Linked DNA regions of Caenorhabditis elegans. The protein of the gene in region 2 interacts with the protein of the main gene of each other region in a pairwise test. Each region holds a gene or a part of one and is shown on either strand. Other genes may lie near its edges.

Region 1 (3,372 bases), 800 kb from region 2:
TTGAATTCCCAACCACTCATTAGATTCTCCCTTTTCAATCTATCAACTGCAATTGAAGCTGCTGCTGCAGATGTACGATATCCAACAGTGATAGGTGCACTTTGAAAGTCTCTACAGTGAATAAATCCCACTCGAATCACATTTCCAGTGGTACCTGTTGCAACTTGGGGAAACATAGGTTTAGGTAACAACTGAAAAAAAATCATTTTTATTTTGTGGAATTCGCTTTCAAAACCTACCGTAATCACTAAAAACAAAACTAGAGACATTGAATAGAAGGGCTTCATGATTATTTTCTTATGCTAAACTGGCAGACAGCAGATCTTTTTATATCTGCACAAGGGGCGGTGGGATTTATAGAAACTTAAGTTTACTACGCCTGCCGCCTAATCCGTGAAACCTTATTTTTATATTTTTCCGCCTCCCGAAACAGTTGATACGTGAAAAAGCACGGAAGAGAAAAAAGCTTCTTTTGGACTTGATTAATCTGTTGGTCATGAGAAAGCGTGACACAAGGTAGGTTACGGTAGCAATTGCGTAATTAATCGGATCAGTCTATGCGCATTTCTGAAACATTGGGGATTTCAAATCTAGTTTATCAAACAGATACAAATCACATTGACATCTCGTGGAAACAGTCTGTAAAGTACCGCAAATTTTACAATTTTTGATATTATTGTCGTTAAACAAGTTCCATTTCAAATTTTTTATTGAATACGGTAAAAAAACAAGAGAGGCAGCTGGTTGAAGTGAGTCACTCTTGTTGAGTTTTCGTTACTGGAAACCTGAATGAAGATAGTTTTTAACTTTAGCATTACGCCTCATTATTTTCCTATTTCCTTTTTACTATTTTACTTGTATTTTTAAACTTTGTTTAGCACATTGAGCACATAAAACCAAATGTTATAAATATCCTTATCATCAACCCATCGGTTTCTTTTTAACTTTTTTCTTTCTCGAATTTCAATGACCCGGAAAACCACCACATCATATGAAAATCGAATCTAAAAATTTGCAGATACGCATCTGTCCTGCTGCGCTCTTTTTTTATTTTTGAATGTTTTTTTTTCTGCAAACGTTGGGAACAGTCATCCAATCCTTCAACCGTTCGTCTCGTTTTGAATGACAAACGTTCTCTTTCCGTCCTCTGTTTGAGTATATTTACATTGCTAATTCAAAAAAAAATAGTATAGAATATAATGATACTTAGAGATAGTTCTGGCATAAAGTTTAAACTTGAATGAAATCATCAATGCCATTAATAACTGTGTCACTGCATTAGTTTATCAGCAAGTGTGCCAGCAAAAAAAACGTTTCGAGACGATTCGATACATTCCTGAAAAACTTCGATAAAAGGGAAGTATCCAAACAACCACACCCAACTTTCATCATTGACTCGCTGTTTTGCTTTTTATTTTTGTTAATCTTCCTTACAATTAGTTTTAAAGTTTAAAACAAATATTACATGTTAGAAAGAACTGTATTTTGGTCAGTTTGTTCGAATAATTTCGAAATCTAAAACCTTTTCTTTTTGATGATTCGTCGGAGTAGATGTTTCTCGAAGGAGGTAAAAAAAACCGTGGGCGATTCTTGTTTGCATTGAGGATAATAGAGCAGTAGTAGAAAAGCAGGGAGTGTCAACTCAGTTTTGTCTTCTTCTTCCCCTATTTCTGTCTTACTTTCGTTTTGTTTCTTTGAAATAATTAGATTTTCAGAAACTATTATAAAATGGATCGTCGTTTTCCACCATTCTCCCCATTCTTTAACCATGGCCGGTAAGTTTCTAAATTCTCGTGTTTTCGGAAACTTCTATAGTTGAAGTAACATAACTTTCTGTAAATTTTCTTCTTTAATAAGTGACGTCACTCAAATTGTACTCTGCGCCGCTAGTTCTTAAAATACACAAGAATTTAATTTGGCGCGATTTCTAAAAATAAGCTAGCGAGAGGACTTTGTACTCCAGTTTAGCAAATAATGCTCTGAAAAATCATAAAGACTGGAGATTTTGACATATTTTTCTGCAATTAGAAAATTAGAAAATTAACTTTAAAAATTTTACAAAACTCCTACAAACAAGTTTTCTAGCAGATTCTTCGATGACGTCGACTTTGATCGCCACATGATCCGACCATACTGGGCCGATCAAACAATGCTCACTGGACACCGAGTAGGAGATGCTATTGATGTTGTGAACAACGATCAAGAATACAATGTATCTGTAGATGTTTCACAGTTTGAACCAGAAGAGTTGAAAGTGAACATTGTTGATAATCAGCTAATCATCGAAGGAAAGCATAACGAGAAGACTGATAAATATGGACAGGTGAGGGTTTCCCTCCTTCTTGAAAAACTCAAGTTTTGTATGAAGCTAGTGCAACTTGAAAATGTTTTCATGCATCCTTAGATTAGCTCTCAAGATCCTGAAACCTTACTCGGAAAAGGGCAAAAAGTTATCCAAAATAAAGGCCAAGAGTTCTAGATTATCCTTCCGCCTGTTACGCAATACAAGGAAGCCAAGCAACTCATTTCCGAGCTTATAACGAAGTTGTACTAAAGTCTAAAACCTCGTTGTGCATACTTTCAGGTAGAGCGTCACTTTGTCCGGAAGTATAACCTTCCAACAGGGGTCCGTCCAGAACAAATCAAGTCCGAATTGAGCAACAATGGAGTGCTCACTGTCAAATATGAGAAGAATCAGGAACAGCAGCCAAAATCCATTCCAATCACAATTGTGCCAAAGAGAAACTGATTTCAGTTACCTAAGTGTCTGTATTTTAACTATTTCAAAAATATTTATTCAATTCCATTATTGAAGTGACAATATAAACATTTTGTTTAGACTCCAACAATCTTTTGAACCGTAATGAATAGAGCATATGGGAACATGGATGGCCTCTTCACTTTCACATAAACTGAGCAGAAGTTGAAATCATCATAATAATCATAATCGATTCGAACTCCTTGTGAGTTTAAATCAACTTGCATTGAAGCGATTGAAGTATCGTTTGGTGATCCAATCGTTGAGAAAACCTTGAATTTAATCATGAAATCTTTTCAAATAGTGACGAAATTATACCTGTTGTGCTAGAGCAAGTGGAAGACTTCCATTGATAACTGCAGATGATACAATGACGTTTTCGAGTGTTTTATCTTGACAATGAGATTGACACCATTGAACTTGGGATACATCTTTTCCGCAATTGGAAAGTGAAGCGTCTGGAAATTTCTTAAAATCGATAGGAAATCTTTTAAAATTAGTTTAGAATACTGATGCAACACATTAAACATGATAAGATTCATTCTTTCCTGTTAGCAGATTAATTTATAATTGATGAGCTTTCTCTATCAATGACGTTTTTTTTTAGATAACTC
Region 2 (7,597 bases):
GCCGAGTTTGGAGCATTTTCACTTCGAAAAGCTTGTTGAAAAGCGCCGAGTGACGTCGATGTTGATGGGAGAGGAAGTTGAGACGATTGTCGGTACTACATGTGTATTGAGCAAGAATTCTGGAAAATTGAAAATAAAGTGAAATTTGAACTGATCCACAAGAATCTCTCACCCAGAGCCTAAAAAAGTCAAGAGATTTGTGTCTCCATACCGGAATATCGTATCTTCGTCATTTCCAGAGTGGTGGAGAAGAACATGTTGCTGAAAATCCAAAAATATTAATTGAATTTAAAAAGTTTGGGTTATCCTACAATCATTGAATCAAGTATCGTCCGTTGTATAGTTGGTGTTGGTAGTACACCTAGAAGATGTGGCCTTCGGAACTTTGCGTGTAGATGTTCGGAATTTGAAGATGACTCGGCACTAGTTAAAGTTAAGGGATGTATATTTTCATATTGTTCAGGAGTTTCGTTCTTGCCAAAATCTGGAAAATAAAATTAAGTCTGACTAGAACAATTATATTTTTTAAAATCTTACCTGCAAACATCATCTTCCTTGGAAATTGTGCAGTTTTCTTGCGTCCAACTCCCATTAGAGTGTAGATATCGGCTCGGTAGGCGCTAACATTTGAGAATTCACTGGCGAATTTCTGAAAAAAAAATTTCATATTCTGCTTTCCCAATGGAAATTCCCATTTAATTTTATATTCACAACTGTGGCACGTAGTAGTGCAACTGACCATTGAAAAATGAAAAATGTGTGAATCGCAACCACATGTTAGTAATGGGATCGCGTTCAATTCATTCCAATAAATCCAATTGGTCGTCGTCGTGTTTTTTATGGATTACACAACGACCAACACACATTGGGACTCGCGTTCAAATTTTCAACTACTGGTCAGAAGCCCTACAGACTTGAAATAATCTTGTTGGATATTTTAAGTTTGAGGGCTTGAAAATTATTTTTTGTACTCACCACCCGGACGGGTATTCCCAAGTTGGAATAAGACAAATTGGTCATATCTCTTTCTGACACGTCGATTTGTCTTTGTGTCGGAAGATTTGCGTAAGATTAATTTGACAATATTGACTATATTGACTATATATATATATATATATACATACATATATATATATATATATATATACATGTATATACATGAATGTAGTGCCGACTATTTACGTGAGAAGTGCAAATTAAATTGTATTGGATCCGTCACATGTTTGCTCTTGTTTTCGATATTTTATGGCTCAATGAACTATAATGAGTCTATTGTCTGATCCTACGGGCTTATGCGTCGGCTTTCACTGAAATAATCCGTTTTGGGGGTTTTCCAGACTAGTTTGAGCATTGATTTAAGCTCTTTTTCGATAAGGAAGTATCTATTCCAAATTTCCAGAGAATGAATAGAACTTTAAGACTATTCTTCTTCCTCCATCTTTTTATTCTCGATGTTTTTGAATACAAATTGTTGTGTTTGTCTTCTTATTCTTCCTCTATTCGTTTTGGAAAGAGAAGGCGTTAGCTCTCACGCAAAATTTCCCCCTGTTCGTTGGCACAAAAAATGAACCAGAAAATTGATGATGACACTTTAGCATCGTGGCGGTTGTTGGAGCCCCGTTGTCTTTATTCGACTCGAACAAAAGGTGGCATCGCGCACGAAAACAGAGAGTGGGGAGCTCAGTCACTTTTTTCCTGTTGTTCTCTACATGAGAGAGCGAGATCTTCACAGCAAGGGTGCCTGGCTCGATTCGCCCCGCAAAACTGATTGACTTTTCGAGGGTAGTGGTATTCCCACAGCGAAACTTGTCACAATTCATTCACATTCTCACGAGTTTCTTCTCCTTCGTCTTCTTCTGTTACTTTTTACGCTCATCTCGCCCGCCTTTTTGTGAGTTGTCAGTGTGCCGCTGTCGAGCAGTAAGAACGAAGCAAAAAAAATGGGCGGGGCTTGAGCACCCAAGAAGAGATGAAGACAAACGGGTGTTCTTTGTAAGTGTATGAAGCTAGGAGGGCGGTTTCGCAGTGTTTGCTCTGATAGGTGAGATGAGAAATTGTTAGAGTGGTTTCGTCACTCCAGAATGTATCTAGAATTCCTAAATCTTGATTATTTTTCGGCGGGCATTGTGTGTCTCGTGTATGATTCATAGATTTCGTCAACGCCAGTTTTGAAAATCTAAAATTTTTCCAAAGGTTTTCTGATAGAATACTGTAGCATAAAACTCTGGCATTCGTAATAAAATTCCGGAAACCCCCGTAATTAGTTTGTTATTTCCTAACAAGATTTTTGATTCATTATGTATTGGAGCTCAAATTGGAATCTTATATTTCTATAACTAGTATAGAAATTTCAAGTTCCATAGAGAGTTCTAGATCAAAATGAGCCTTGTGACTCAAACTATGGGTGATAAATTACATTGTCTTGGCAACAAGCTGCCTTTAATCAATTCGGATTTTTAAGAGCTGCTCTATGAACACTGAGACAAAAGTAAATCCAAAATAAAACGAACAAAAAGGTTTCTTGATACTTCATCAGCAATTCCTTATTCTCCAGAGTCTTTGTGGTTTTTCGTTGTTTTTTTTATTTGGTCGTTCTTAGAGCAGATTCTAATGATCTCTGTGTTGTTTTTTCGCTTTTCCTGCTAATCCGACAGCTTGTTTCTAGGTATACGAAACCTTCAAAACTTAGTCATAAGAAGGAGAAGAAGTCAAAAATGGCCAGAATAAAATATACCTAGTATGCTTTTTTTTGACTCAATCAAGATGTCCAACTATAGAAGATTAGCGAGAAATGTAGAAAAATAACTGACAGCTTTCTAGACACTCGAGTTTTCGAGTACCAGAAAACCTCAAATAGATGTTCGAATTTTTGGCTAAAACGTAGAGCCATGAGAAAGTAGGAAATACCTATAACAAATAATCGTGAAAAGTCAAAAAGCAAATTTCTGATTGTTTTCTGAACTTTAAAAGTTGAGTAGAGCCAGTGGGACTTTCCCATAATGAAGCAAAAGGTAAATCTGCTTTTTAACACTTTAAAGTGTTTTAAATTTCCAAAATTTCTAGTCAACTACTTGTTCCATTTTTGAGAAGTCACAGATCACAAATTAGGAAGAAAATAGACGACTTCCCAAATCTTGAGGCTATGCTCTCTCTTCTTTTTCTTATTTCTCTTCCGAACATCATTTACTTCCCAAATTGAATCTGTACAGCCGTTATTTTTTGGCATCCTGTTCCTGGTTCAAAATTTTGTTGTAACGTAGATTTTCCCAGTTTTCTTAAATTGCTTGTTCTAGATCCATTTTCCACTAGATTCTCATCATCAACAACAACAAGTTGAGTTAGTGAGAACTTTTTGAAAGGGAGGAAGTGCGGTCTTTTTGTAGGTTTTCTTCTTCATGTGGGCTCTCGAAGAGTAACCTTTTCCTTCCTGCTTTATCGCAAGGCGGGCATAGAGACAAAAAGTGTATTTACTTTTTGAGAAGACGGCGACGACTCAAAGTGAGGGAGGTCACTCTTGGTGAAAGGAGAAGAAGAAGCACAACAAGCTTATTCGTTCGGTGAGCACAGCAACAGATTCTCAGATATCCGATGCTCCATGCGGTTTCATGAGGTATGTTCTTGAAAACGAAACCGTTTCCATTCCGAATTTGATTTCAGAATTGTATCTTCCAACTGCTTCTGTACTATTCTACGATCCTCCTAGAAGTGGTAGAGTCAAATGTAATATTCACTGTAGAAGAGAGCAATGTAACCACACCTATTCGTCATTTACACCGACTTCGGCATTCGAAAGGTTACTGTAGCACCTCTATTGGAAATGACTCATTGCTTCTATTTTTAAGGACCCTCTCCATATTTAACCGCCTCGTCATCTGTCATAAACCAGCGCGAGTCGAATCGTCTGGAGTCGTTCTCACTGAATTGCCCACATGTTGTCGATTCGAGTAATAAAAACGTGAGGGTCTTACCGAAAATGACTCGTATGATTTTTTTTGAGTTTAGGTTCACATTGAGGTCGTGTGGACTCTAAACGAAACTGTTTGGCTGAAGATCGAGAAAGGCCATCAACGAGTTGTGAATGGAGAGTCGACGTTTAACAAGAGACGCGTGTCAGGTTAGTTAGAAATTCCACTTGAGAACTTCAGTACTTCATGCATTAGTTAGTGTGGCTGCTGGTAGGAAGGAGCCGGAACTTTACTAAAGGGCATAAATAACCGGTTGTTGGATTCTGTGAAAGGTGTCAGTGGCCAGATTTATAGAATCCTGTCAATTTCATGAAAAAACTTGAACTTCTCTCTTCCCATAGATTTTGCCAATTAGGAGGCTGCTCGCCGAGCACGAAATGTTTTCTTAGAGCAAAATTTGATATTTCAGGGAAAACAGTGATGCGTCTACTACTCAACAACGCTCGATACCTTTTTGATTATGATGAGCTAACTGGAGACTTTTCAATGGAAATCTCGCCAGTTCTTTGGTCTTCCGATAGTGGAGCATGGCAGTGTCACGTCACCGTTCGCCAGGAAAACGGGAAATCTCACACTCTAACCAGCCGTCGTCGTATCAAGGCAGGCGAGATCGGAGTACGGAAAGAGACTCGTCAAGAAATGAGAACGAAGACAAAGAAGGAGGACATTGCGTTGCTTTCTCGGGTTAGTAGTATAACTATTACGAGAAGATATTAGATTATAAGTGGAAGAGAAGCGGCGATGCGAATAAATGAAATGATCTGAGTTTCAGATAGAGGAAAAGCCGGAGAAGATGACGGAAAAGGAGGAAGAACCAAGAGTTGAGGAGAAAGAGAATGTAGAATTCGCTAATGTAGGGAAAGGTGGGCTATTCATAATCAATCCAAATTAATAGAGACGTATTGTTGAGAAGTGAAATCTCTAAAATGATCTTTTTAACTTATAGGAATAACTTCATTTAAGGTAATCTCAATGAGTTTAAATTTCGGAAATATCAAAAGGTTTTGTCAAGTTACGGTATTAAATATTCAGAATCATCTCCGATTCTTCTACAAAAACGAGGAGATAGATCGTCGGATCACTTGCATCACAACGTGGCATCATTTTCTCGAAACTCTGATGACAACGTCTATATGACACGGTAAGCTTAATATAGTGAATTTTTGAAGACCTGCTCCTTTTAGAAAATCCGAAGAAATTTCTACAAATGTGATTTTTGCTCGAACCGACGGAGCGCTTCGGCATCATCACAAGCCAATCAGACATCGAGAGTTGGAACGATTATTCGATGCTCAGATTGATTATGAACTCGGTGAGAAGGGTCTACACACAACTTGAGATTATTGTTAAATTTCAGATATGTCAACCGACGACATGTACTACCAGAATTTGATGAACACACGAGCGCGTGCGCGGAGTGCACATTATTACTACAATGAAGGAAACAGTAAACGAGCATATCTCACTTTTTGTTCGCTATTTTTTGCCACTTTTTACTTGTTTTTGTGAAAAACAATAAATAAATATGGGTAACTTACCTTTGCATTTTTCGAGAAAACATGAGATGATTCCACGATTACCACACTTGACACGTTGCGATTCAGAAGACGTTCGGCGAATTTTGTGGAATGAAAATTGAAAAGTGTGACATCAATATCCGATAGTGAGGTTGTCATTGACGATGATTTTTGAAGTGATCGCATCAGAATTGACAGTGCTGATTTGATGGGAGCATGTCCGTCGGATCGATTTTCTTCGATTACTTCGGAACGCTTCTTTTTATCGTCTGACGAGCTAGTTGATTCTTCGTTTTCTGCGAATTCTGTCTCGGAAGATGTTGCGGGGGGCATCGAGAAATTTGGAGAAGAATCGATGGGTAAATCCAGGGACGATTCTGGAGCAGAATTCCACGACCAGACATCGGGATCAAATACTTGAGAGCTCACGAGAGGTGCCTGAAAATCATTTATTTAAAATTTGGCAAAAAATTTAGATTTCAAACCTTTACATCTTGACATGTAGGATTTTTTCGAATTGTGGAAATGCATCGAATTCGATTCCATATTCGCATTTCTGAAAAACTAGATTATTATTTTATTTTGGAAGATTAGGCTATTATGAACAAAAAAGCAACTTTTGAAAATTGAAATTGAAAAAAAATGTTACAAAATGAAAAGCGAGAGTTTCCAAATCGTGTGCAGATTTCGAGAGACGCAGGCGAAAAAGGAAACGCAAATGCGCTCCACCGCAATTTTTTGTTTTTATTTTTTTCCCATTTCATTTTTTTGCGATGAATATTTAATATATTTGCAATTTTTCCTTTTCTTGTCTTTTTAATTAAATTTTTAATTTAACCAGATGAATTTTCAGGTAAATCTGTACATAAAACTAAGTATTCAACCCGAAAAACAGTGTGTCTAGCATAGTATCAATGCTTAGGTGCTAGTTTTGTACAAATTACGGTTTCCAAATGCCGTTTTCTAAGAAAAATGAACAAAATGGTGGAATCACAGAAGCAGCGCTTCAGGTAAACAAATAAGCAAGTTCAGAATTCTCATTAAAATCACATTTTGCAGGCTATAAAGCAAGAGCCTTTGGATCAAAGGGAACAGCTCCCTGAAGAAATCAAATTAAAACCCGGTGAAATGATTCTTGTTCCAGATGATCCAATGCTTCCTGGGTAATACAATTTTGTTTTAATTTAATCTTGAAACTAATTTTCCAGAAACTCTACAGCTTCTACTTCAAATTTCTCCAGAGAAGAACTTCCGGGTCCTAGTGATGTTGTGCGAACAATTTCTAAAAACGATCTCATGATGTCAAGGTTCATTGATTGAATAAATAAATTTTTTACACAAAATTTTTTTTTCAGAAAAACTGCTGCGCCATCTTCGTGTCCACCGAAGGAGCAGTCGATGAAGCCCAGTTTTCAGACTGAAAAAATTATGGGCGATTTTGTGAAGCAACGGAGGTATTTAAAACTAAAATTTTTAATTCAAACTGTTCTGAAGTGCTTTTTAAAATATAATTTTTCTTCTTTTTTCCAGAAAGCTGAACTTCGCGACGCCGTGGCCAAGAAAAGATCCAGGGCCTTCATCAAATTCTTGGCTCACAGAATATCGACCATCAGTACCTGGGAATCAAATTGAAAATTCAAATATAGAAAATTTAATGTTTGTTGAAAGCAAAGATGAAAGAAAAAAATTGTTTTTTTTTCAGCAAAAAAGTAGCTCCCTTCTACTCTCGCACCACTCACGAAAGTCCACATTCATCTCAAACTGTCGAAGATTTTAGGTCAGAAATTTTGAAAAATAATAGCTCAACAGTTAGAAAAAATGACCGACTGTGAAGAAAATTTAAAAATTTATATAAATTTTTTATGATTTTTTTCACACATATTTCCGATAAGAAAATTATAAAATGATGTTAAATTATGCATTTTTTCAGCGAATTTTTTCGGGTTATCAAATTTTCTTTACGGAAAAAATTGACAAACCGAGTTTCAAATCTAATATTGATGAAAAAACCAAGAAAAACCTATGAGTTTAGCTAGAAAACGAAAAAAAAACGAATTCAAAAATAATTAGATCTTTTTCAAATTTTTGCAAACTTGAAATAATCGTAAAATATAT

What was found. The genes of interacting proteins can lie anywhere in the genome.
Region 1: the proteins of C50E3.5 (region 2) and hsp-17 interact in a two-hybrid assay, tested with the Caenorhabditis elegans proteins (one large-scale study listed by BioGRID).

Annotation. Positions count from the first base shown.
Region 1 is NC_003283.11:8,384,271-8,387,642, reverse strand, and holds hsp-17 (SHSP domain-containing protein), read left to right. Parts: upstream 1-1,715; 5' UTR 1,716-1,728; coding exon 1,729-1,775; intron 1,776-2,085; coding exon 2,086-2,323; intron 2,324-2,584; coding exon 2,585-2,749; 3' UTR 2,750-2,835; downstream 2,836-3,372. Other genes in the region: gcy-7 (Guanylate cyclase), read right to left, coding at 1-191, 240-287; F52E1.14 (ZP domain-containing protein), read right to left, coding at 2,836-3,030, 3,077-3,216.
Region 2 is NC_003283.11:7,586,437-7,594,033, reverse strand, and holds the start of C50E3.5 (SpoU_methylase domain-containing protein), read right to left. Parts: upstream 6,039-7,597; 5' UTR 6,037-6,038; coding exon 5,968-6,036; intron 5,921-5,967; coding exon 5,504-5,920; exon of another isoform or gene 5,475-5,503; coding exon of another isoform or gene 5,323-5,474; intron 5,278-5,322; coding exon of another isoform or gene 5,150-5,277; intron 5,107-5,149; coding exon of another isoform or gene 4,998-5,106; intron 4,829-4,997; coding exon of another isoform or gene 4,738-4,828; intron 4,650-4,737; coding exon of another isoform or gene 4,375-4,649; intron 4,115-4,374; coding exon of another isoform or gene 4,003-4,114; intron 3,956-4,002; coding exon of another isoform or gene 3,843-3,955; intron 3,794-3,842; coding exon of another isoform or gene 3,658-3,793; intron 3,611-3,657; coding exon of another isoform or gene 3,596-3,610; exon of another isoform or gene 3,480-3,595; intron 650-3,479; coding exon 538-649; intron 485-537; coding exon 312-484; intron 262-311; coding exon 173-261; intron 120-172; coding exon 1-119. Other genes in the region: C50E3.6 (Ig-like domain-containing protein), read left to right, coding at 3,596-3,610, 3,658-3,793, 3,843-3,955, 4,003-4,114, 4,375-4,649, 4,738-4,828, 4,998-5,106, 5,150-5,277 and 1 more; F19F10.11 (Lin-15A/B-like domain-containing protein), read left to right, coding at 6,436-6,492, 6,542-6,645, 6,691-6,789, 6,838-6,936, 7,013-7,138, 7,185-7,259.